Drosophila melanogaster: one gene and its partner. The protein of the gene in region 1 purifies or fractionates together with the protein of each later gene. This does not show direct contact. Each region holds a gene or a part of one and is shown on either strand. Other genes may lie near its edges.

What was found.
Region 2: the proteins of Myo61F (region 1) and SMC5 purify together in Drosophila melanogaster (affinity purification with western blotting, with the first as the bait; one study listed by BioGRID). This does not show direct contact.

The regions. Positions count from the first base shown.
Region 1 is NT_037436.4:1,319,291-1,332,383, forward strand, and holds Myo61F (myosin 61F), read left to right. Parts: upstream 1-5,272; 5' UTR 5,273-5,280; coding exon 5,281-5,339; intron 5,340-5,826; exon of another isoform or gene 5,827-5,962; coding exon of another isoform or gene 5,963-5,970; intron 5,971-6,704; coding exon 6,705-6,849; intron 6,850-6,910; coding exon 6,911-7,026; intron 7,027-7,082; coding exon 7,083-7,545; intron 7,546-7,607; coding exon 7,608-9,871; intron 9,872-9,933; coding exon 9,934-10,030; intron 10,031-10,110; coding exon 10,111-10,125; 3' UTR 10,126-10,327; downstream 10,328-13,093. Other genes in the region: CG9184 (uncharacterized protein), read right to left, coding at 2,715-3,412, 3,462-3,492; ND-ACP (NADH dehydrogenase (ubiquinone) acyl carrier protein), read left to right, coding at 10,851-11,000, 11,573-11,659, 11,752-11,880, 11,990-12,169; msd1 (mitotic spindle density 1), read left to right, coding at 12,492-12,528, 12,584-12,963; msd5 (mitotic spindle density 5), read right to left, coding at 13,062-13,093. UniProt on the Drosophila melanogaster protein: Unconventional myosin that functions as actin-based motor protein with ATPase activity. Binds to membranes enriched in phosphatidylinositol 4-5-bisphosphate, and can glide along actin filaments when anchored to a lipid bilayer.
Region 2 is NT_037436.4:21,564,143-21,576,240, forward strand, and holds SMC5 (structural maintenance of chromosomes 5), read left to right. Parts: upstream 1-5,109; 5' UTR 5,110-5,236; coding exon 5,237-5,310; intron 5,311-5,378; coding exon 5,379-5,751; intron 5,752-5,814; coding exon 5,815-5,993; intron 5,994-6,114; coding exon 6,115-6,361; intron 6,362-6,413; coding exon 6,414-6,512; intron 6,513-6,577; coding exon 6,578-6,865; intron 6,866-6,919; coding exon 6,920-7,021; intron 7,022-7,079; coding exon 7,080-7,288; intron 7,289-7,347; coding exon 7,348-7,511; intron 7,512-7,589; coding exon 7,590-7,919; intron 7,920-7,974; coding exon 7,975-8,192; intron 8,193-8,248; coding exon 8,249-8,473; intron 8,474-8,543; coding exon 8,544-8,768; intron 8,769-8,833; coding exon 8,834-8,991; intron 8,992-9,047; coding exon 9,048-9,165; intron 9,166-9,225; coding exon 9,226-9,321; 3' UTR 9,322-9,381; downstream 9,382-12,098. Other genes in the region: CG7634 (uncharacterized protein), read left to right, coding at 1,378-1,666, 1,725-1,888, 1,946-2,125, 2,184-2,299, 2,364-2,457, 2,520-2,696, 2,752-3,041, 3,092-3,237 and 1 more; CRIF (CR6-interacting factor), read right to left, coding at 3,993-4,691; EMC10 (ER membrane protein complex subunit 10), read left to right, coding at 10,485-10,544, 10,602-10,769, 11,085-11,468, 11,528-11,599.

The DNA of each region.
Region 1 (13,093 bases):
ACTTTCAATGATAATCAAGGGTGCTTTTTCATGATCGGTTCTTTGAAATAATAAATAATATGGGAAGATGATTCTCCCAGTGCAGCAGCCACCGCAATCGAAGAGATCTGGTTTATTGTGATGCTCCTCTAATAAAGCGAGCGTTTAGGCACCGGCACCTCAATTTCGCCGCTTCGCTCGCTCCTCCGTTCGCTTCCTGGGTCTTCACTCCACACATCGTCTGCGAGGATATTTGTAAACTGGCTGGGGGGGTTCACCTGTCCCTCGCTCCCCGGGGATGAGCTTGTTTGCCCAGGTTTTATAGCAGGAACAAACAGGCGGGGCACACAAAGAGGGTCAACAGGGCGTATGTGTTTGGCTATGGGGGAGACATGAGTAATCGGTGGATATAGCTGGCGGGGATGTATCCCCTTGCTCCGCTTGCCTACTCGCTGACCAATTGAAATTGTATCAAATTTCAATTTCGTTTCCACACTGCGACGGCCCTCCATTAATTTGACCCAGTTTTGAAAACAGCGGCAATAAGCCGCTTAAAAATAACCAACTGCAATGGATCGAAAACGAAACCGAATGATTCGCCAAATCTGGCAGCTGTTCAAATACAAGCTCGCAACAATATAATAATATTGTCAAATACCTACCTGTAGTCTTAAAATATCTGGGATCTGCTCACTTTTAAAGTACTTAATGGTATTGAAGCTAGACTAGAGGCGATTGTAGAACACCTTTTTTCGAGTGCACAAAGCATTGCCCCCAATGTCATTGCCTCACACTTGGCACCCAAAAGAAACGAATTGGAAAACCAAGCGTATCACGAAAACCCGAATTTTGGTAATGATGTAATGCCAACTTTCTGCGAACTAACCGTTTGGCAAACAAACCCAGAGGCCAAGAGAACAAACGAAGAACCGGAGAAGGAAATAAAATTGCACGCCTTTTGGTTCGGGTAATTGCGATATTTATTATCGCCCAGCCTTGTCATGTGCCCATTTGACTCTATGGAGTCCACGGAATATTCGAAATATAGCATAACCTGGTGTCTAGGGGAAACGGCGACCCGCACCCACCTGAAAAAATTTCGAAATCGCGGCCTGATGACAAACTTGAACTTTCTCTTATCGGAATCGGTGGCGTTATCTTCTCGCTGGGTTCAACCAGTTTTACTGATATGATATTGATCGTGTACGCTCTACATATGTACATACAGGGTGCTTTTACCTCTTCTTAGCCAGCTGCATTATGACATTAATTAATGTCTAATAAGATAAGATACGAAAATTAAGTTGAATCGACAAAAGACCACAAGCGATTGTCGTAAACGTCCATCGAAGCACATCGCTTTTCCACGAAAGATGTGGAGGTCTGGTCGACAATTGGTATGCCCTCTTTTATGAATGGGCAGATGTGTCACTTGGAAGAGTAGAGAATGACCTGGTCTTACCTAGTGAATGGATTCATTCAGACATTGTTCTTTAAAGATGTATAAGATACGATCTCTTAAAGAAGTTACGATTCATTTTCACCTTTTAAATTACAAATATTGACGGCATTCTACTATTATCTGTAGTATCCTGGCTGAGAAACTGCTGATCCACCTTAATAAAGCGGTAATTGGCCATGTGGCAATATGCCCCATTCAATCAATTGTATGGCACAAGTACAATTATAGCAAAAATCCCCACTAGTCATAAAGTTCGACTGGCGAGGAACCAAGAACACGGAGCCAGCACTTCCACTCCATTCCATTTCTTTCGACGGAGGAGTGAGCTTGAGTGAGCTCGTGTTGGGATCACCATTACATCGCACCTCGGATTTGCTCAGGTTCGGTAAAGTGCCAAGTAAGGGCTTTTCGTGGAAGCCCCAATCCCAAACTCCAAACTCTTATTCGACGTGAGTACGAGCAAAAAGTCTGTTTTGAAGCGGCCAAAACAGTAGGAAAGGCAAAAACGAAACAAAACGAAACGCTTTTGGGCAGCTCTTTCAGCAGATTTTTTCTTTTTTTTTTGCAATTGGCAGTAAATCGCGTTCAAGATCGGCCTCAGCTGTTGACGCTTTTTATGGCTCGCAGTGAGCTAAGAAAACAGCGGGCCCCAGTGATTGTTTAATACTTAATGGTTATCCGAGACCGAGACCCAGGCACTTGGCATGCGTCACAATGGCGGCGTGATCTCCTCGAGATCTCCTCGTGCCCAGAAGACTCGTCCCTAAAAGCGGGTGACTCAGCAACCGAGCGTCCAGATTCTCTTATATACATATGTATTTGCAACCGGCTCGATAAGTTTGCCCAGTTTGAATTTGAATTTCCAGTCTTTGCGGGTGCGAGAAATGACGATGATGACGATCGTTTGAACGAATTCGATCATCTTTACTCTCGGTCAGCGGCCTCAACTGGGTTCTTTATAATCTAACGATCCATTCAGTTGGATGATCTGGCAAAGCTATTATCAGGGTTTAAGTAATCGTCAATCTCGAGTGGATTAATAGAAACACCTTCTGCCTTTCTCCTTTCTGCAATTCTGTTTCTACTATTATGGGCTTTCAGTTGGACGATTTCTTTAAACATTTATCCAGTCAGAATCGATTAGATATTGAATAGGGCTATAAACTAGAACGCATGCGATGATAAGTAAGAACTACAATGCATCACGCGGTTACTCGGAATATACATGGTACACAATTTATTAAGTTTTAATCAATGATTGGATTAGAGTACTTCAAGCCCTGGCCATTTGGAGTAGGTGATAAAGTGGCACAACGTTAGCGTTGTTCCTGCCGTCGAGGAAGTTCTGGTGGGACAGCACGGCCCTGCCCTGGAAAACGCCAGGAATGGCGGCGGAAGTGAGTCCATCGGCACCGGGAAGTTGGTTATCGACCTCGCCAGCCGTCGAGGAGCGATAGAAGGGATAGTAGGGATAGCCAGAATAGCCGCCAAAGCCGGGATATCCAAAGCCCCCATATCCATAGCCGCCATATCCGCCGTAGTAGTTGTAGCCATTGTAGTAGGGATTGTAGTAGGGTCCCGGCGGAGGAGGAGGTCCTGGCGGCGGTGGTCCGGGCGGAGGGGGTGGCCCCCAAGGACGCTGCGGTGGCGGCGGATAAGCGGGCGGTCCTGGCGACCACTGCGGTGGATAGCCATACTGCCGTGGGTGCTGCTGATCCTCTGGTGGATAATAGTAATGGTGTTGTACTGACGGTTTCGGGGTGGTCGACGGGGCTCCCGAGGCCATCACCAGCTTGATGCCGCCCTTACCAATGGTCTTCAGCAGGTGCTCGTCAATCCCGCGTCCACTTCCCAGCGGATCGTCCAGCACCTGTTGCTGCTTTTCGGTCCTGGCCTGTCCGCTGACCAGGCTCGTCTGCAGTGGCGCCTTCTCCTGGAAACAGAGGCCGCTGACCAGCAGCTGCAGGATAACTGAAAAGGATGTGTCACTCTTTCTAGGCAGCCGATCGTCCGTACTCACCCAAACCAATCGCAGTCACTCTCCGATCCATGATCTCTCTCGGAATAACCTGACCACTCCAGTTGCATTGCCCTTTTATACGCGGTGCATCTGTGATGAGATGTGTGGGATCTCGTTCCCGGTTTCCTCATTAGAATAACCCATGCAGTGGCCCAAATTTGGGATGCCTTTCTTTCTTCTGTGTCCATCTCCATCTCCATCCCCAGCTCCAGCTCCAGCTCGAACTCGATCTCGATCTCGGATCGATCAAGCACCGTTCTAATAACTGCGCTCATTAATTTGCATATGATATAAATGCTTGTAGGGGCTTTGTGGGATCTTTCCACTTCTCATTCCACTTCCATGATCGTTCTGCCAGCCCTGCATTTTTCCAAATGAATTCGAAGAGTTCAATATCCCGCGATATTGCTGCTTGATATATGACGACATTTGAATGCAGATGAAGGTTGGTCATGCCACTGAACAAAAAAATATTCAGCAAAGCTCTTGAGTTGGCAACAAATTTTTTGGAAATATGTGCCCTTGAACTTATTGTATTATCGTTGAGTTTCCGTCTTTAGAACTTATCTTTACTTTTTACGAATGTATTTCTCCATCTCGCTACAAAGCAAATCAGCCTCTGCCTCTTGGTTTCCTATTCTTAATGCTCGACTATTTCTTTCGGTGTGCGATTAATGGGTTAGGAACTTTTTCGTTTGGGTGGGACTCATGGTTTTTGGGTTCCGTTATAGGTCGTGTGTCGTAGACATGTTTACGAGTCGTCTGATACAACAAAATGTGGAGTTCTCTGTTACATCACCCGTTGGAGTATTTCTGGATCGGGAAACCAGTTCCCCACTCTATTAGACCGCTGAATGGGGATTAAAGAAAGAGTGGATCAAGCCGACAAAAGCAACGCCCCCAGGGAACAGAAAGTCAATGACTTCATAGTAGGGAGAAACCGTGTTATTGCAGGGATATTGAGCAAAGTATAATTATAATGACTACACACTCATTAATATTTACAGTTTAATTCATTTTATATCCCCCAGCTAGTTTATCTAATCATGAAAGTATCTGTAGAGGCTTGCCCCGCCACCCAGTCAACTTTGGCAACTCTCTTATCATACAACATATACTCGTGTCAATTGGATCCCAAACAGTTCCATGAGATCTGCACTCACCTGCCCTCCAACTTGTGGATTCCTTAAATAGACGTAGCATAATCTTAGGCGATGGTTGGTTTGTCAAAAGTGCTAAAGTGATTGCAGAATGACTGCAAATGGCTGTGCCCATTGGGTGATGTATTCGTATATGGTTTTCGACATGATCGATATCCACTTCCATCTGCCCTACGTGCAATTAAACAATTATGTGACAAACATCGAATCACGGCGAGCTCGGCTCCAACGACTGGGACGTGTCTGCCGGTCTCTTCGAGAATTCCTGGGAAGTCTTCCCGGCAAACATTTCGCAATTAGTCAGGCATTCGTTCCAGTTCCACACAGCAAATCCCCTTCCAAGTGGCGCAGAGTGGATGGAAACACACAATAGTGGCGGTGGAGGCAATTGCAATCTAGTGTGTGTACTTACAATGTTTTCATTCGGCAATGACTTATTATTTAGCACACTGATAGCTGATAACACAGTGCTAATGTGAGCTGGAGCACTTTTCTGAGTCGGGGTTGTGAGTTTCGAGCTCTGACTCACTCAGAAATGTCCCGAAAGCGCGGCAGTCATCTAGAAATCTTGAAAGCATTAAGTTATAATTTACATTTTGGAGAAGCAAGTTTATGAAATTAGCTAATTGTGGAGCAAGAACTAAGTAAAGGAATTCCTTATGTACATTGAAATCAAATCCTTGATCTTCGCAATAATGGATACTAAGGACTACATAGAGTAAGCAGTGCTAAGATAAAGAAAGTGAATAGATTATAAATCATATAGAATAATTCTTGATTAGTTATCTAAAAACCAAGAAACTGGTTCGCGTAGCTAGGAGGAACCACATTATGAATCAACTGAAAACATTGGGTTGCTCGGAATGATGGGAGATGGGAACGCATATATCTTTAGGATTGACGCATGCGAAAAAGACGTATCGTGATCTCAGGTACTTGGAACTCCGGAATACAGCCGATCCGGAATTCTTTGGTGCGCTGCGTTTCTGTCATGGTCTCCTAAATCGGGTCCCGAGTTTATTCGCGAAAGGCACTATCTAATCGGGGACTGATTGGCGGCATTGCCCTCCTCATCGCAGTCATAGGTATATTATCGTTGATAAATGTGCCGACTAAAAAAAAAGAACAACACAAATTCCGACGAGGCCAATTGATATGTGGAGAGGAGAAGTATTGATGGTTAAAACGCCTCAACTGCCAGCGGATCGGTTTAGTTTGCCAACGGAGCCGTCAAAGGGCGGAATATGCGCGGAATCTGACACATCCTCCAGAGAATCATCAATTGGAGCTATCAGTGGTGTTTGTGCAGTAGTGTTGTGGAACAAGAAGAATCGAACAAACATGGCCAGGTAGAAGAAGCGTGATTTGAAGAGAATCCATCTAGAGATGTGCAATTGTTTACTCAGTGACCTAGTGAAGTGTCCTTGGATAATCCCACAGTTATATGACCAGCATTTCTTAGGAATCTTAGAAATCCTACCAGTCACAAATCCATTGCATAATCGTTTCTTTTATGGTTTTACCCGCCGCGTATCAGCAGAACTGGAGCAGTCGTCCAATAAAGCAAACTCTTACCACTTGCCCACTTCCCTTGGCCCCATGAAATATGGCATTGATAAGGTGAATTGCACCTGCCCACCATTACTTCTATGGATCTATAAATACCCCAGATTGGGTATTTGCATTGGGACTCATATAGAATATTATATTGGATATGTCTGATGAGATCATTTGGAATTGATCAACAATATCCACATTCACGAGTCACTATCATTTGCCTGATTCATTTCCGCAGGACTGTTATAAAATATTGTCGAATAGCGAAAATCTTATCTTTGGGGTTTCGGCTTTCTATGGGGCTTTTCTGAATTGGTTTTCAAGAGGTTTTTCCTAATCAAGGTGGTTAAACATGGCAACCCTTTCAGCTGGGCAGTCCGATTAGGTTCGTCAAAGATAAGACCTATGAAGAGGATTTTCTTAGGAAGTTGAAAAATTAACAATGAAGCAAGCACCAATCGTTTCTGTGGGATCTGTATTTAAGGAATCATTTTGATGCTTATGTGAACCCCTTTCTTTGCTTTAGTTTTAATTCCCAACTGAAAATGGAGACGGGCCTGCACGAGCGTGATCGTGCTGGAGTCCAGGACTTTGTGCTCCTCGAGAACTACCAGAGCGAAGAAGCCTTCATCGGGAATCTGAAGAAGCGGTTCCAGGAGGACCTGATCTATGTGAGTAAAAATAGTTAAAGAAGATAGGTCAAAATAATGATAACGATATCCCCTTTCGCAGACCTACATTGGCCAGGTGTTGATCTCCGTGAATCCCTACAAGCAGCTGCCCATCTACACCGATGACCATGTCAAGGCGTACAGAAACAAGCACTTCTACGAGATGCCCCCACACATGTGAGTCTCAAGACCAAGTTGCATTGAACCACCAAATAATGAGCATTCCTGTCCAGCTTTGCGGTGACTGACAACGCCTTCCGTTCGCTGATCGAGGAGAACCGCGGCCAGTGCGTGCTCATCTCCGGAGAGAGTGGTTCCGGCAAGACAGAGGCCTCCAAGAAGGTGCTGCAGTTCATAGCCGCCTGCTCCGGCAACCAGACGACCGTCGAGGGCGTCAAGGACAAGCTGCTAAAGAGCAATCCCGTGCTGGAGGCCTTCGGCAATGCCAAGACAAACCGCAATGACAACTCCTCGCGGTTCGGCAAGTACATGGACATCCAGTTCGATTTCAAAGGAGCTCCGATCGGAGGCAACATCCTAAACTATCTGCTGGAAAAGTCGCGAGTGGTGGCTCAAATGGGAGGCGAGCGCAACTTCCACATCTTCTACCAACTCTTGGCCGGCGCCGACGAGGCCCTTCTGCAGGAACTGCGCCTGGAGCGGGCTCTGGACACTTATAGCTACCTGACAGATGGGGTAAGTGGGCAGCCTGGAGGGTATTGACAATTGGTCTCTGATCTTCGAGTTCTAATCCACAGCTCAATGGCACCGTGACGAGAATTAACGATGCGGACAGCTTCAAGCAGGTCCAGCAGGCTCTCACTGTGATCGATTTCACCAAGGAGGAGCAGCGCGAGATCTTCGGAATCGTGGCCAGCATTCTGCATCTAGGAAACGTTGGCTTCACTGAGGTGGAGGGCAATGCCAAGGTGAACAGCAGGGATCTGGTAGTCACCGCTGCTCGTTTGCTGGGTGTAAACGCAAGCGAACTGGAAGCCGCCCTAACGCACCGCACAATTGACGCTCGGGGAGATGTGGTGACCTCACCACTGAACCAGGAGCTCGCCATCTATGCCAGGGACGCCTTGGCCAAGGCTGTCTATGATCGTCTGTTCTCCTGGCTGGTTCAGCGCCTCAACATCTCGCTGCAGGCGAAGGAAACGCGGGCATCCAGAAATAATGTGATGGGCATTCTGGACATCTATGGCTTCGAGATCTTCCAGAAGAACAGCTTTGAGCAGTTCTGCATCAATTTCTGCAACGAGAAGCTGCAGCAGCTGTTCATCGAGCTTACCCTTAAGTCGGAGCAGGATGAATACCGCCGGGAGGGCATCGAGTGGATACCTGTGGAGTACTTCGACAACAAGGTGATTTGCAATCTGATCGAGGAGAAGCACAAGGGCATCATCTCCATACTGGACGAGGAGTGCTTGCGACCAGGAGAGCCCACGGATAAGACCTTCCTTGAGAAGCTCACCCAGAAATTGGCCCAGCACCACCACTACGTTTGCCACGAAAAGGCGCCCGCCCACATCAAGAAAATCATGCTGCGCGATGAGTTCCGCTTGGTGCACTATGCCGGCGAGGTCACCTACAGTGTCAATGGATTCCTGGACAAGAACAACGACCTGTTGTTCAGGGATCTAAAGGAGACCCTCAGCAAGGCTGGCAACGGCATTGTGAGGAACTGCTTCCCGGAGAAGGAGCTGCGCAGCCTGAAGCGTCCGGAGACGGCTATCACCCAGTTCCGGGCATCTCTTAACAACCTCATGGACATTCTGATGTGCAAGGAGCCGAGCTACATTCGCTGCATCAAGCCAAACGACCTGCAGACTGCCAACGTCTTCAACGATGAGTTGGTACTGCACCAGGTCAAGTACCTTGGCCTGATGGAGAATCTGCGTGTGAGGCGAGCTGGTTTCGCCTACCGACGAACGTATGAGCTCTTCCTGGAGCGCTACAAGTCCCTGAGCAAGTCCACCTGGCCCAATTACAAGGGTCCCGGTGGCCCGAAAGCGGGTGTCCAGCAGCTGGTGAAAGATTTGGGCTGGGACGAGGAAAAGTACAGGGTGGGCGAGACGAAACTATTCATCCGCTGGCCGAGAACCTTGTTCGATACGGAGGATGCCTACCAGGAGAAGAAACATGAGATAGCGGCCATCATCCAGGCCCACTGGAAGGGATTGATGCAAAGGAGGAAGTATCTGAAACTGCGTGCTCAGGTGATCATAATGCAGAGCTATTGTCGCCGAAAGTTGGCACAGCAGGCGGCCAAGAAGCGCAGGGAGGCCGCCGATAAGATTCGTGCCTTTATCAAGGGCTTCATCACCCGGAACGATGCCCCGAATGGCTTCAATGAAGAGTTTATTGCCAACGCCAAGCGTATGTGGCTGCTTCGACTGGCGAAGGAGCTGCCCACCAAGGTACTGGATAAGAGCTGGCCCCATGCCCCTGGGCACTGCGAGGAGGCCTCCGGCATCCTTCACCGCCTGCACCGTCTCCACTTGGCCAGGATCTACCGCCTTAAACTGACGCCGCAGCAGAAGAGGCAATTCGAGCTGAAGGTCCTGGCGGAGAAGGTCTTTAAGGGCAAGAAGAACAACTACGCGAGCAGTGTGTCCACTTGGTTCCAGGAGGACCGCATCCCCAAGGAGCACATCCAGCGAGTCAACGACTTCGTGGCCAGCACCTTCGGCAGCGAGCAGCTTAAGTACCAGTCCTTCTGCACCAAGTTCGATCGGCACGGCTACAAGTCCCGCGACCGCTTTATCCTGCTGAGCAACAAGGCTATATATGTCCTCGACGGCAAGACCTACAAGCAGAAGCACCGCCTGCCGCTAGACAAGATCGACTTCACGCTGACGAACCACAACGACGACCTGATGGTCATCCGCATACCGCTCGACCTGAAAAAGGACAAGGGCGACTTGATTCTGATCATTCCGCGCATAATCGAGTTCAGCACGTATATCATTGACACCGTGGGAACTGCCTCCATCGTCTCCATTGTGGACAGAAATTCGTAAGTTGCACATCGGTTATCCCAGTGGTTTTCTCTTGACTAAGTGTTGCATTCGTTTCCAGGTTGGAGCACAACGTAGTCAAGGGCAAGGGCGGCGTCATCGACATCCAAACCGGCGCCGAGCCCGGAGTGGTTCGTGATAAGGGCCATCTAGTTATCGTAAGTAGTGCGAGCTCCAGCTCCTCATGAGGAAACGCCCATTATCGTGCTGACCTCACACACCAAATATTTCTTTTCAGATTGGAACGCAATAAGGAATTTACTATGACTTTCTTCAGAAAAGTGGCTTTAAATCAAACGACCTTGTTTTGTTATATTCGTGTAATTTATAGTGTAACTATGTATTTTTGTTACTGCAGCACCTGAGAGTTGTGTATTCGGATTTTATATGACTAATGTTCCAACTAAATGTATATTGTTTAAAAATACATATAAATATATTACAATTTGTATATGAATTGGGTTCTTATCACTAACTTGTGGTTTTTCAAAGAGGAAACGTGGCAATTTTTCTAGTCTCTTATATCGTTTCTTTCAAAAAGAACCGCCCACTCGATTGGCAAAAGCAGCAGTCGATAACTTTGCTTTGAAACGTCAGTTCGGTGCTCCAGACTTTAAAAATCTCGTTAAAGTCGTGCCCAACTCACAAAAGAAGATTTCAGCTAACGTTACTACTGAAATTCATGTGAATTAATATACCACTAACAATTATTTAACTGTAAATTATAGTTGGGAAAGTTACTTACTCATTATTCAAGTATTAAGTATTTTTAGTATTTATTTGCGTAAGTTGAGAAACAGCTTAGTACATTGCGCATACGGTCACACTGCTACCTTGCTGTCTTTTTCTTGCTCCAGCACTTTTACATAATCTTGAAAACTCAGCGTAAATATCGCCCAAAATACGAGACCTGCACTCGTGCACCGTCTGCAGAGATGCGATACTAACCCGCTGCGTTTCCGTTGCAGGAGAACCGAGATGTCGTTCACACAGATCGCGCGCAGCTGCAGTCGACTGGCGGCCACTTTGGCCCCAAGGAGGGTCGCCTCCGGCATTCTCATCCAATCACAGGCCTCCAGGATGATGCACAGGATCGCCGTGCCATCGATGACCAGCCAGTTGAGCCAAGTAAGCGAACGTCCAAAGCGGTCCCTTCCGTTGCAGGAGCCCCAATCGCAGTTGAGGACCTAACCTCATCGCAAACGGCGGGGTTTCGTGATCTACGAGTTTCAAAACATTCAATTAAGTGCTTGCAATCATGAACGCAACAGAAGATCCTCGCCATGTGGCCGTCGAACCACCCAATTCGATTGCATCACATTATTTTGCATAAAACATGATTGTTTCCCTATCGCACACACACACACATACACCTGCAACACCGGTGCTCGCACTTGTGTGCGGTTGATTGTACTACAGTGAAAATCCTCTAGAAGTGACCTTAAAATGTAGCGGTTTTAAAACATGTGATTTCAGTTTGTTAAATATCTAAATATGTTTCCACGCCAATCCAAGCAATAGTTTTCGCGGTATTTAATCAGTTGATCATACACCATCGAACCACCCTCGTTTAAATTGCGTATATATTTACACTGCTCATTGAAGAATTAGCTAAGTTGTATGCACCATAAGTCGTAGATGAACTACCAATGCAATTATTCATATAGAGACGAAAATTCACTAGACATTAACATTCGCAGAAGTTCGGTGTGCGCAGCTACTCGGCCAAGAGCACCATCGAGGACATCAAGTTCCGCGTGCTAAAGGTTGTCTCCGCCTACGACAAAGTGACCGCCGAAAAGGTAAAGTACCCATTGCATGGCGCCACTAATCCGGTCTTTGTTTCCTTCCTTTTTTTCTCGGGCCGGCCAAAAACCAGGAGTGCCGTGGTCGCTGGCAAACGCAATTGGTGCGCAGATACTCGGCGAAACCGCCGCTCTCGCTGAAGCTGATCAATGAGCGCGTCTTGCTTGTGCTCAAGCTCTACGACAAGATCGATCCCAGCAAGGTAAACGCCACATATTGCCTTTGCCAGTGCAATGGTCGCCTCAGAAATCAGAACTGAACAAAGCTGATGAAACCTTTGAATACCCAATGCTAATGGCTCGCATTTACAGCTCAACGTTGAGTCGCACTTCATCAACGACTTGGGACTGGATTCCTTGGACCACGTGGAGGTCATCATGGCCATGGAGGACGAGTTCGGTTTCGAGATCCCCGACTCTGATGCCGAGAAGCTGCTTAAACCTGCCGACATTATTAAGTACGTCGCCGACAAGGAGGATGTGTACGAGTAAATTGTAATTGTAATGCAAGCCATTGAACGGATTACACTTAAATTTAAATAGAAAACAAGTCAAATACAATTTGATCAACTGAATAAACCAAACGTTAAATTAACTTGTAGTCAGCAATTGTACACGAGGGCTATAATTAACTGCGGAATAGCAGCTAATAAATTAACTATCCAAATAAATAAACGAGTCATTTAGTACTGGCGGTTAAATTTAAATTTCGATAGAAACGTTGGTCTTTCGATTGTTTTAGAAAGCCTTGTGTATTTTAGATACGCAGCGACGGTCACGTTAATCTGCTAGCATTACAAACAGAATATTCGAAATGTCAGACGCTGTGGACAAAATGTTGGCGGGAATGGGTAAATATATCTTTAAACCACCGACACGCGTTCTATTCCGTGCTTCCAATTTCAGCGGCCAATCGGCAGACCATGAACCGCCAGCTGGCTAAGATAGACGAGATAATGGAGCGGTCGAACAACACATTGCTCCACATCGAGTCCAACAGCAAGGCATTCAGTCAGAATGTGGCTTTGTCGGAGACCCAGAAGATGTACAACCTCAGGCCGGAGGCTGAGATGACCCTGTCCAAGATCCTGGAGAACTTCAAGCTGCTCATGTCTAGCAGTGACCAGCGGGAGGAGACATACAGCGCTCTGGAGGGCTGCCTGGCCTACAGGCATCGCGTGGAGCACCTTGGCAGCTCCGTGCGTAAGCTGGTGGCGCTCTACGACACCGTGGGCCAGATGAAGAACTCACAGGAAGAGCAGTATGCCAGCGAGGATTCCCCCTAGCTCATCCATTTTTAGAATTTATTATTATGTTATAGTTGAAAAATAATTTAAATAAATTAAACATTTGATTTGTATTTAAAGCTCTTTAAGCGAGGTTTTCAAATCATGGCCATATTGTAGCTGCTGACTT
Region 2 (12,098 bases), about 20 Mb from region 1:
ATCTGGGAGTTTTCATGGTATTTTGTACCGAGCCACTTGCTTTTATTGGATTTATTGAGTGCAGATGGAGTTGAATAAGTAAGAAGTGTTCTATTATTCAAGGCTTTGTGGAAGGGGCTACTTAACTCTTGAAATCTAGCCCATCGCAGATTTCCCATCTTAAATAACTTAAAGAACTGCTCGGCATTAGGAACCGCATGCCAAAGTTCGCCAAACTATGGGAAATTATACATACAAGTATGTAATTCTCGATTACGAAAGCTTTTATCGCTGCATACACAAATATTTACATGTATAAATATTTATTTTCCCAGTGGATATTATAGAAATGGTCATTTTGTTTTCCTATTTTCGTAGAAAAAAAAACGAGTCTAATAAATAAAAAAATGAGTGCCTGTTTTTAATACCAAGCACTAAATCCAAATCCAATAAGCCAATAATTAATATATAAAATAAAATACACTTGGGAGTTACTTAACTAACACATGATGGTAAAGTAAAAAGTGTATTGTCTTGTAAAATTATTTCGAATTACCTTTTTATGAGATTTGCCGTTGCCTAATTAGGATTCATCTCTCCTTGTTTACCATTCTAATGGGTATCATTAGTTTACTCCTTTTAGTGATTTCCTTATCACGGCAACTATGGTCTTTTATCTAATCACTAATTAGGGTCGTTAATATTTTCTCAACTTTTCTCAAATATTAAATGTGCCAAGAAAACGATATTTTCTAAAACCGAAAACTAAGTAAAATCCTAACACCTATTTTCCACGTGCACCTGTAGAGCTTCCGAATCCTTTCGATCCAACACTTGTTAATTGATTTCGAGTCTTAACTCGCATTTTCGTAATTAGCGCGCATATCTTAGTTAGCAACGAACTACCGACATTTTGCGTTGGATGCTTGGGCGATGACAGGTGGAAAGCAACTGGCTGCATGTCCAGATGTCCTGCCCACTTTCGGAAGTAGTGAGTCTCGGCGGGTGAGTGCGCAGGCGTTGAAGCCGAACATCTCGATATTCCGGGCTCGCCAGAGTAACTGCATGTGGGTAATAATTTCGGCTGTACTTGTGGCTTTGGGGCAAACCGAAGTGCTTGGGAATCATGTGAATCTAATAAGGATGCAGCTTTCCCCACTTTACCACATTCGAGGCACTCGAGTTTCGGCCATGTGCCTGTTGTTTACCAAAGGTTTATACATTGTTTTCCAAATCCATTAATTATAAAGTCACATTCAATTTCATTGGCTTTATAATAGATGGGTCTCGAAATCAAAGCCCCATTTCAGCAAAAGTCTTTGAACATGAGCTGAAAAATGATTCAGTTTGATTCAATTGTTCGTTGAAAAAACAACAAAATAAAAAAAAAAGAATAAAATGACTTCTATTATACCGCCGGGCTCGTTAGTTCCGCAGGCGCAGGGCGTAGAAGCAGCCGTACCCGTATGGTTCAAGATGGACTGGAGCCCGGAGATAGAGCAGGGCATCTACAAGGACTGGGGAACCTATTACAGTCGCCGGCGCAGGGAGAATCTGGGCATGTACTACTTCGACAAAGCCCTTAAGCTTGGACCTGCAGATTTCACGACTCTGTATCGCCGAAGCCAGAGCAAAAGGAAGAATGCCCAGGCAGATGGGGCACTTAAGGACAGTTTGGAGGCAAAACGTAAGCTTAGTTCGTTCTTCTTGAAAACTTGCATTAAGTAGATCGATTTCGGCCACAGGACTATTGAAAAACTTGCAACGCTATGATGCGCCTATTAATTTGGAGGTCTGCGATGCATTGTACGAACTAAATCAGCTTGAGAACGCCAAAGCCGAGCTCCACGACAATACCCGCCTCTTTACTGGAAACAAAACTAAAATGTTCGAGCAGCGACTGGTGGTGGTACGATGGTGTTTCGGGTTGAGTTTGGGTTTCTCCTGATTTCTGGGGTGCTTCCAGGTGGACGAGAACATTGAAGATGCCTGTGGCCCTTCGATGACTCAGTACATATCGGACAAGGAGAAACTCATAGTGCACTTGAAGGAGGTACAGAACAAGTACAAGCCCGATACCAGGCCGCTTTGGAAAATTCTGAAGGAACAGGAGAAATGCGATGTCCTGAGCATTCCCGAAATCGAAGTGGGTATTATTGGCAAATTTGCAAAATTACCCTTACTGTTATAGGCCGTCTTACTAGGAAGAAATGCTTTCCCCCCTTGAAATTGCGAGGCGAAGTCGTGCTTTCGACGTGTTTAACCAGATGTTCATAGATAGGTCTTGGCATGATGTCATATTTCTCAAGCACGTTCGAAAGTAAAACCATTTGTGAAACTATAAAACATTGATTATAGCATATGTACCTACATTTTTGCCTTAGAAATCCAAACCTTCTCTTGAATCAGTGTAAGAACTCCACTGAGTACTTACAAACGCTTTCTACAAAGAAATATGACGAGATCAAAAGCTTTCTGGTGAGTTTGAGTGGTGAACCCGAATTATGAGTACCCAAATTGTCCCTAATTGTTTATTTCAGAAAATTCTGGAAGCCCGTAGCCCCATGTACAATATCCGATACCAAAAGTTCACAAACAAGAAGTTGATGGATAAGTTTCGCCAGGAATATCTTTTTCGAGTTCAGTACCAAACAAGACGAAACATGATTTCCGCACTGCGTAGTATTCGGTACCTTCGAAAAACCAAGAGTCTAACAGTAAGAATTTTGAATGAATTCGAACAGAGATTGGTTAAATGATTAATGGTTTTAGAAACTCACCAGTTACGTGGAGGAAGTTATGGGAGATTACGTGGTGAAAAAAACCAACAGGATTATGCCCTGGAAATTCGAATTCATCAACGAGGTGTACAATATTTTGGCGCTTGCCTACGTAGATCAGTACACGCTTCCGAAGAACTTTCGCTTTTCGGAGAAGAACGCACTGCTTCGATTGCTTCGCTTTCCTATGGACAAGTCAAAGGAAGTGAAACACTTCGTATTTGGGGATCGAACTACGCACCAAGGCTCGGAAACAGTAGATCCGGCCTTGACAAAATCACGGTAACTCGCAGTCGAGATAAAAATTCTATTTTAATTTATTTTGTTTTCAGTCTAATGGGAAACCGACTCGAGAACCGTATGAATTTCGCAAAGTACCCTATAGAGAAGTCCTACCTACTTCACCAAATGGCAGAGATTCATCTTAAATCACACAGGTTTGACGAATGCTGTTTTAGTGCCCGAAAGTCTATTGAAGGTTTGGTCCATTAGTGCTATACTATTAAACGGTTATGGAAATACCTATATATCTATCTTTTTAGAGGCAAAAAAATGCAATAGCTACATTTGGCAGTTTCTGTGCTACCTACTGATAATAAAGGCGAATGCTGCACTCCACAAAGTCGAGCGAACCAGTGAAGCTCTAGATCTGGCACTAAAAATTTCCAAGGAATTGAAAGAAAAGCATATTCATAACTTCTTGACTGCCTGTATACACTGTAATGAGGAGGAATTCATCGTGAAGAAGCAGAGCATTTTTGCGAATAGCCGGCGCGAAAGCGAAAAATCGGTGTATAGTTCCCTGTCCGTGCGCCATAGCAATTAGAGCTTTGTATTATTTGTATAACCAAAAATATTGATTAATAAATTCTCAGTGCAATTATAATAGTGTAGTGACCTATTAGATACCTATACTCAAGTACCCCTGCGTATTTGGAATTTGCATTCTTATTATCAACTTGCAAGCTCCTTCATGGCTAGATCGACTCGGCTACTGATCCTCTTTTAAAAATAATGCTTGTGTAACGTATATATTACACAAACATCGGGCTTACTTTTCACTAGTCTAAGCAAATTCTTGTCTTAATTTATAAAAATATAAAATATTTTGCAACACTTTAAAATATTTTATGGGAGTACAGATAATAAGTGCTCTTCTTTTTGCAGTGTTTTTATTTTAGTGTAACATACAACAGTTCTTCGCTTAAATCGATGGTTTTGATACTACAAATATTACACTGATGCTTTCTCTACCAGCTTGGCCATCATCTTCTCCTCCTTGGCCTTTCGCTTGGCCTCCTTCTGCTTCTTCTTGTCCTCCTTCTCTTTTTGCTCTAGCATTTCCTTAAAGCGTTCGTCGCGTGTATCCACCTTGAACCCGAAGTGTCGGCGCACCTCCTCTACCAGGCGTTCCTTGCGTTGTATGGCTGCCGCTGCATCCGCCTCCCGCTTAGCGATCTTCGCGTGCAGGTCCGCCTTCCACTGTGTCAACTTCTCCATCTTCTTCGCAATGTCCTCTTCACGGGCATTTATCCTTGCCAGCTCCTCTGCCTTCTGCGCGCGGTTCTTCTCCAGCATTTTCAGGAGTGTTTCTAGTTGCATAACCTGCCTGCTGTCTTTCTCTCCGTGGGAATCGAAGCAAATCTTGGGATTCACATTGCTCTGGGCCCCATACCGGCCGAATGCCTGTCTCTGGTACTTCTCGGTCAAATGAATCCAGGAGTGAGGTTCCTGGTATGGCAATTTGTTAAGGAGCACATTTTTGTGTTGTGGTTGCAGGCCGGATCTGTCCACCGTCTGGGGATATGTTGGTTCCACATCCACGTCGCCGACCAAGGAAGCCGGCAGTTCCGCTTTCGCAGCGCTCGAGTACTGGGCGCACGAGCGGAGGGCAGGAAGTCTGGTGACAACGCTTATCTTGCCTACATTCATTTTGAATTGTATTGTCTAAGCAAAATAGTTTATTAATTTCCAATAGAGATGAGAGAAAATCGATAGCGATGACACCAATGCTGGCAACTAAACCCTTTTGGAGCTAAATTCAGATATTTTTTAGGCCCCGTCAGAAAGATAAGTAATAGATATTAATTGTTGTGACAGTCTGGCTGCATCCCAGCTCAAGCTCTATATATTTCTTTTTTCCTTGCTATTTATTTCTATCAATTTGTAATTATCGTTTCCACGATTTGTTACTGACATTTTACTTGTCAGTTTTTATTCCGAAAATAGATTTCTGAGGCTTAAAATTATCATTTTTATGTTGTCAGCTCAAAATATAAAAGAAACATAAATTGATTATACATACGGGCGGCGCACAAGTGTACCCTTAATATACCAATCGTTATCGACAACAATGGTACGTGCACATATGCCCTAATGCAAAACTAAATTCTTGAAAGCGCGGAATTGCATTTAAAACAACTCGTTTTACTTAAGTTGAAATAAGCATTTGCTCGGATAAAAGCCTACGCCACGACATGGCGGGGGATCGTGCCTTAAGTTCCAAGCAATTGGCGGGGCGCATACATTCCGTGTACTGCAAAGATTTCGTGTAGGTTTATTTCCATCAAAGGCGCAAATTGACAATTTCGCGGCTCATTTGATTATTTCCAACAACAGATCCTACAGCGAGATCACATTCCATCCGAAGCACTACCTGAACGTTCTGACCGGTCCCAATGGCAGTGGCAAGTCCACCATCGTGTCGGCCATAATTTTGGGCCTCGGAGGGGAACCGATTCTCCTTGATCGCTCCGCCAGCGTTGCCGACTACATACAGAGCAACAAAACCTCGGCCACCATAATTGTCCGGGTGTATGGACGCACGCCCAACACCACGGAAACCTTTCGGCGCATAATAAACTCTAATGGCTTGTCTACCTTCTCTGTGAACGACAAAGACACCTCCAAGAAGAACTTTTTGGCTGCTGTATCCTCCTTTAACATACAAGTCAGCAATTTGTGTCAGTTCCTCCCGCAGGATCGGGTTCAGGTATGTCGTTATGTTGGCAATTCATAAATTACACACCTATTTATTGTAAACATACTGTTTCAGGACTTCTCCAAGATGAATCCTCAAGAGCTTTTGCTCAACACAATGTCCTCCGTGTGTGACGAAGACCTGATCAACAGCTTCAACAGTCTAAAGCAAATGCGCACAGAACAGGCGAATGTCCATGCTAATCGGGAAAAAGAGAAAAGTGATCTGGTTAAGAAGCAAAAACGATTGGAACAGTAAGATATAGTTACCCGAGCTTATTTTTATTCACTAAGTAAAATGTAACCAAATGTGTGGATGAAGTACAAAATTTTAATTCTTACTAAAAACCTAATTGTCTTAATATCATTTTATTAGCTTACAAATGACTGTGTCCCAATATAAAGAACGCGAAGAGGTCAAGCAAAAGCTGCAGGTGTACAGTGCGAAGAAATTGTGGGTTGAGACTCAGGCTGGAGAAGCCAAGGCCGCAGAAATGAAAACTCAAGTGAAAAACGCAAAAACTCAGAGCGACAAATTGAAGAACCAACATGACAAACTTCTTCAATCCCAAGAACAAATTGAGAAGGAAAAAGAATCACTCAGAAAGGCCTTATTGGAAAAGGTAATGGGTGGCAGTGTTTTTTAATATATTTTTTAAAAATAAGTTTTTTTAGACACGCTTATTAGAAAACGCTGTAGCGGAGAAGGCGGCTATTGATGGTAAAATGGACTCTTTGAAGCAAGGAATTTACCAAAAAAAATATGAACTGGAGGTTGGTGTTCTTGTTGCATATATCGATCATGTGAATAACTCTTAATCTTACATTCTGTCACATAGCAAAACATTAAAAAATCACGAAGAACGGCCACAGAGTGTGATAACCTAAATCAGTTGGTGGAGAATAAAATTTACGAGCTTGAAACCCTAAATAAGAGCAGGCCTCTGATCGTTTCGGAACTTGAAAGGGCTAAGGAATCGTGCGCAGCTGCCCGCGGGAAAGCAATGGAGCAGTACAGCAGACGGAGACAACTGGAACAAAAACTGAATGATGAAATGATTCCTGAAATTACTGCGTATAAACTTAAAATAGAGCGGTTGAGAAACGTCAAAATGCAAAAGATTGATGTAAGTTCTTACTGAAATAATGAAAACTCAACTTAACGCTACCTTTCATTTTAGGAAATTAGAGCAAAAAATCCGAATTTGGTTGTGGCCATGAACTGGTTGGCGCAAAATAAGCAAAGGTACAAATTGAACGTTTATGACCCAATGATACTTGAGGTGAGCTTTTCAAAATGAAGCCATTACCAATGGCCTAATGTTAAAACCGCTATCATAGCTTACAGTACAAAATCATGAGGACGCAAAGTTTTTGGAAAACGTTGTGGCGCAGCGCGATTTATTTGCATTTGCGTGTGAGGACAAGGGGGATATGTCGGACCTGATCAACGAGTTGTGTGTGAAGCAAAAATTGGGAGTTAACGTTATTTACTGCGCACCATCCGATAGACTCGTGTACAGTCCCAAAACTCCCATCGATGATCTGCGGTATGCACTTGTCAATTGTCCAATACTAGTCCAATACCTAGTTTTAAATACTTTTACAGCTCTTTCGGATTTCGGTCATACCTCGTGGATCTTGTCACGGGACCAATACCACTAATAAACAAGCTGTGCGCTTCCTATTCCATTCATAATATACCAATTGGCACAGAAGCTGTGGGCAATTACACTTCATCCATTCCAAAAGCTATCCGAGTTTATTTCGGCGGTGTGTATATTTTTCTTATTCGGTTTCGCTTCGCAAATGTATAAATTCTGATTTTGAATTCCGTACTGTGCATTTTAGGCAGCAAGAAGTTCGTTGTGACCGCATCCCGCTATCGGTCGGATACTATTCTAACTGAAAGTAGCATTCGAGCGAAGAACCAACTTATTACAGTGGACTCACAACAACTGGCCCTGGTGATGAAACAGTGCTCCGAAGCAGTGAAGGAAAGCGACAGCATTAAAAACGCAATAACCCAGACCGACAATGAATTTGAACGATTGCAAGCTGTTGCAAAGGATGAGCAAGAGAAGAGACGAAAGCTTGACCAAAAAATAGCCCATTTTAATAGCCTGAAAACCGAAATTGAAACGCTCCAAAAGAAGCTGGAAGCCCTGCGCAATAGCGATTGTAAGTATTTCTTAGTGCACTAAATATTCAGCCATTATGAACCGTGTTTTTTCAGCGCTAGACTGTCTTGAAACCAATTTTTGTAACAGTTTGCATAAAGACTTAAAAAAAATATTCGATGCTGATGCGGAATTGTGCTCGTGCTTGAAAGCTATTGACCGACTTATAATTGAAAAGAATATGGCCCAGACAAAGGTATCCATTTATATGCTGCAACATGAGACTCAAATTGAAGCCCTCAAGGAAAGCGAGGAACAGAGTAAAGCAGCAACCGTAAGGAAATCGAAATGCACTTAAGGAATTTATTTATAGGAATGTTTTGCTTGCAGAGAGACTTCCAACAGTTGCTGCAGTGCTTAGAAAATCAAATTAGCGACGTTAACAAACGAAAGAGCGCTATTCAGGGCCTTTGCCACGGAGAAATTCCAACCAGTAGCAAATTTCCTTTTAAGAAGGAATTTAGGGAGCTGGAAAATATAGATTTGCCCGAACTACGAGAGGCAATACATGACTTTCAGGCACGATTGGAGTGCATGAAAAGTGTAAACTCCGAGGTAAAACACTCTTTTAAATTAGTGAACTGAAGCTGATATATCTAATAACTTTCCATATTAAAATATGCAGGCCATCAGCAGCTATCAAGGACTGCAAAATGAAGTCAAGCAACTGGAGGAAGGAATTCAAGAGTCTGTTAACCAAGCAAAGAGCATCGAGTCTGGCATGTCCAATTTATACGACAAATGGGAGCCCAAACTTAATAGCTTGGTAGAAACAATCAGTACCAAGTTCAGCGAATTTATGGAGTCCATTGAATACGTGGGAGAAGTTGTGTTATCCAAAACCGACAAAGTGAGAACTTAAACTGTCCTACATAAAAACTTTACTTCAAATGTATTTCACTTTATTAATTCTAGTATGACTTTGACTCATATGGTATTCAGATAATGGTCCAGTTCAGGAGAGGTCTCCAGCTGCAGCCGCTGGACAAGTTTATTCAATCTGGTGGCGAACGCGCAGTGTCCATCGCCATATACTCATTGTCCTTGCAACATGTCACCCACGTGCCATTCAGGTGATTGCGGAACCCAGCTGCAAACTGACGCCCGATTTATAGTTCTCCATTTCTAGGTGTGTCGATGAAATAAATCAAGGCATGGACGCTACAAATGAACGTCACATATTCGACTTGCTCCTCAAAGAAGCCACCAAGCACGGCTCGGCTCAGTATTTATTTGTAACACCTAAGGTAAATATAAATGCTTATTCATTTAAATATTTAGTTAACTGTTTTAAATCTTCTTTGTAGTTGCTTCGAGACCTGAACTACAACGAACATCTCTGTGTTTCCATTGTTCACAACTCAAAAACTGTTTGCCATGGCATGCAATTCCCGATGGCTTAGACACTTTGGGTCATCCAGATTTACTATATGTATTTTTTTATATTAAACACTACAAAACATATCTATTGCATTTTGTCGAATGACCAGCCTTGTGGGGACTCCTTTTCGAACTGTTGGCCTACTCGGAATAAAATCTGTAAGCCGGTAAACAAGTCCAAAGGCAATGATGCCTGACGATTTGTTTTATCAGATTTCAATTTGTCCTCGATTTAAAACCCTACAACAGCACCTATATCTTATTTCATATGTGAAATGATTTTAACACTACAATGCGAATACTTTTAAGTAAAGAGATGCCTTTGTACATATGTTTTTTAAGTAATTGGATAAACTATTTTGGGATGTTAAAAAATATATTTATATTTATATATATATTTATATATATTTAGATATGCAATTTAATGCAAATCATTTCTTTACAGGGTTAATATTAAGCAAAGTATGTCAAAAGTATGATCCCTCGACGCAAACTATAAAAGTTCAGGTTAACTTCAGATAGATGGTTAGTTTTTTATCAGCTCCAAAGAAGTCGGGTTTTGATCGCAATCCGTGTGTGCCCTTATTATGGTTGGGATTTTTTAGATCAGCAGTTATTGCTATATAGCCATATTTATAAATCTTCTACTGGCCTACTAAGTCCCAACATAATGAGAGTAAAAACCACAGGTTCGACGTTCATGTGAAGATTAGAAAAATACAGACAAATATATTTCATAGTTCAAAAAAAGTTTTTAATGTCTATTTTAACAACTTTTGAGTACTCCAGATAGAGAAGCGCACAGATATTTAATATGATTGCAACGAACAGAATGGTGAGTTTCATAAAAGGGGTGTGTACAAGTTTTGAATACTGCCTTTGAAATCGCAGAATTGCAAAATTGCATTTTGGTCCCAAGAAAGAAAAGTTCAATTGGAAAATATGTTTTTGGCTAGTATTTTTGCTACTCATATAAATTGTAGTGGTAATCCCTAAAGTTCGATTCCGGACAGAGGGTATCAGTTCAGCCGCTTGTTGAGAGAAAACGGAATACCCCAACTTACTCGCAGTATATTTTGGTATTTTTCTAGGAGCTTAGGTTGTTTTTGCAATGAGCGGTCACTCTATTGGCAACCCTCAGACGATTGAAAAATTAAAATTAAAATTGAGCGTTTGGCAGGGAAATATGTATTCAAAGGCGGGATTTGTTCTAATTTTCGTGCTGGGTCTAGTGTCCAGCAGCTGGGTAAGTGTTAATCCCCTACGTACTGCACATAACGTGTCTAAACCAACGTTCTCTCAGGGATTCCTGGAGCATGACAGCTGGATTACAGTGGAGCTCCAGCACTCGCTGGCTGCAAACTCGGAAAGTTTCTCCTTCCGCGGGAATGTGACGATTCCCAGTCTCAACTCTGGTCTGGCCAATGTGGAGCAACCAGATCTGAGCACTGCCGATCTGGACTTGCTGAAGGTAACAGTGGTTCGGGCACATGGGCACGCCGGTAGGAAAATGTTCACCATTTTTCACCATCCAAGAGTGGTGTACTTAGTGCATCTTATGGAGTGGTTACAGGCGAATGAGGTGGCTAGATATTCGCTGAGTATTGAATATACTGCAGCATTAACCATTGTATTCTATAAGTGTAGAAATGCATTCAATTATATAGCCTGTTTGTTTCCATTTAGTTTTTAAAAAGATGCCTTGTCAGTTAAGTTTAAGCCTTCCTGTTGAACGTAATCTTAAAATAAGTATGCACTTAGTAATAACCCCTTTAACCTTTTTTAGAAACTGGCCCTTGGAAACGAGTTCTACCGTTTGAAGGCCACGGTGGTGTATTCAAATGGAGCTAAGGCGCAGTTCATCACTTCCAACAAGGCCTGTCGCCTGCTGCAAGCCCAATTGAATGACGTGCTTTGGGTGTCGCTCGAACCCTCCGGATACGTAACCGGCATCACTGTGTCCCAGGACACGGCCCCGGCCACTATAGAGTGCACCCAGGAAGACGTGAATAAGCTACTGGAAACGCAATTCAGCACCGATGTCCTCATCCGCCACGCTGAACTGGCCCCCGTGCCCGATACTGCTGGCTTTATTCAGAAGGTGGAGCGGGAGCGCGAGGCCAGGGAGCGCGGGGAGGTTCGGGATAACCGCGGCTTCTTTGCCAAATACGTAAGTACAAATACTTTGGCCTGAAATCCTTTATTACAAATTCACTTTTTTATTTTTAGTGGATGTACATCGTTCCGGTAGTTCTGTTGGTCTTCATTTCGGGAGCCACCAACCAGGACGGTGCAAAATAGGTTAACTGAGTGATGTGGTGTAATCTTTTGTTTGTTAGCTTTTTCTAATCACAATTCCTAGACAACTTTGGTTTTAGCGATTAAAGATTGAGTAAAATAAAAATGATTGAGACATTTTAAATTAAATATACACAGAAATAATGCTTTTGAGCTCCCAGAGGATTTCTTAAGAGTTGGCATAGGGTTTTGAGACCTCATATAAATATTTGTAATAGGATTTGCACCTGATTTTCGGTTCACATTGTTTTCGGAAATGGTGTGCAGTTTATTTTATTTATTTTATTATATTTTATTAATTGAATGCCTGCAAACAGCCGAGTTTTATTTGGTATGCTTATATTGTACTTTCAATTTGATAATTGAACGTTTGGAATTTTGCCGATATATTTTTCCTGGTTTTCGGATATTTCTGTTCCGTCCACACCGTGTAATCAAAATTTGAAATCACTTCAAATCTCTTCTTATATTAAGGTGTCAATTATTTTGAGTTTGTGTATTT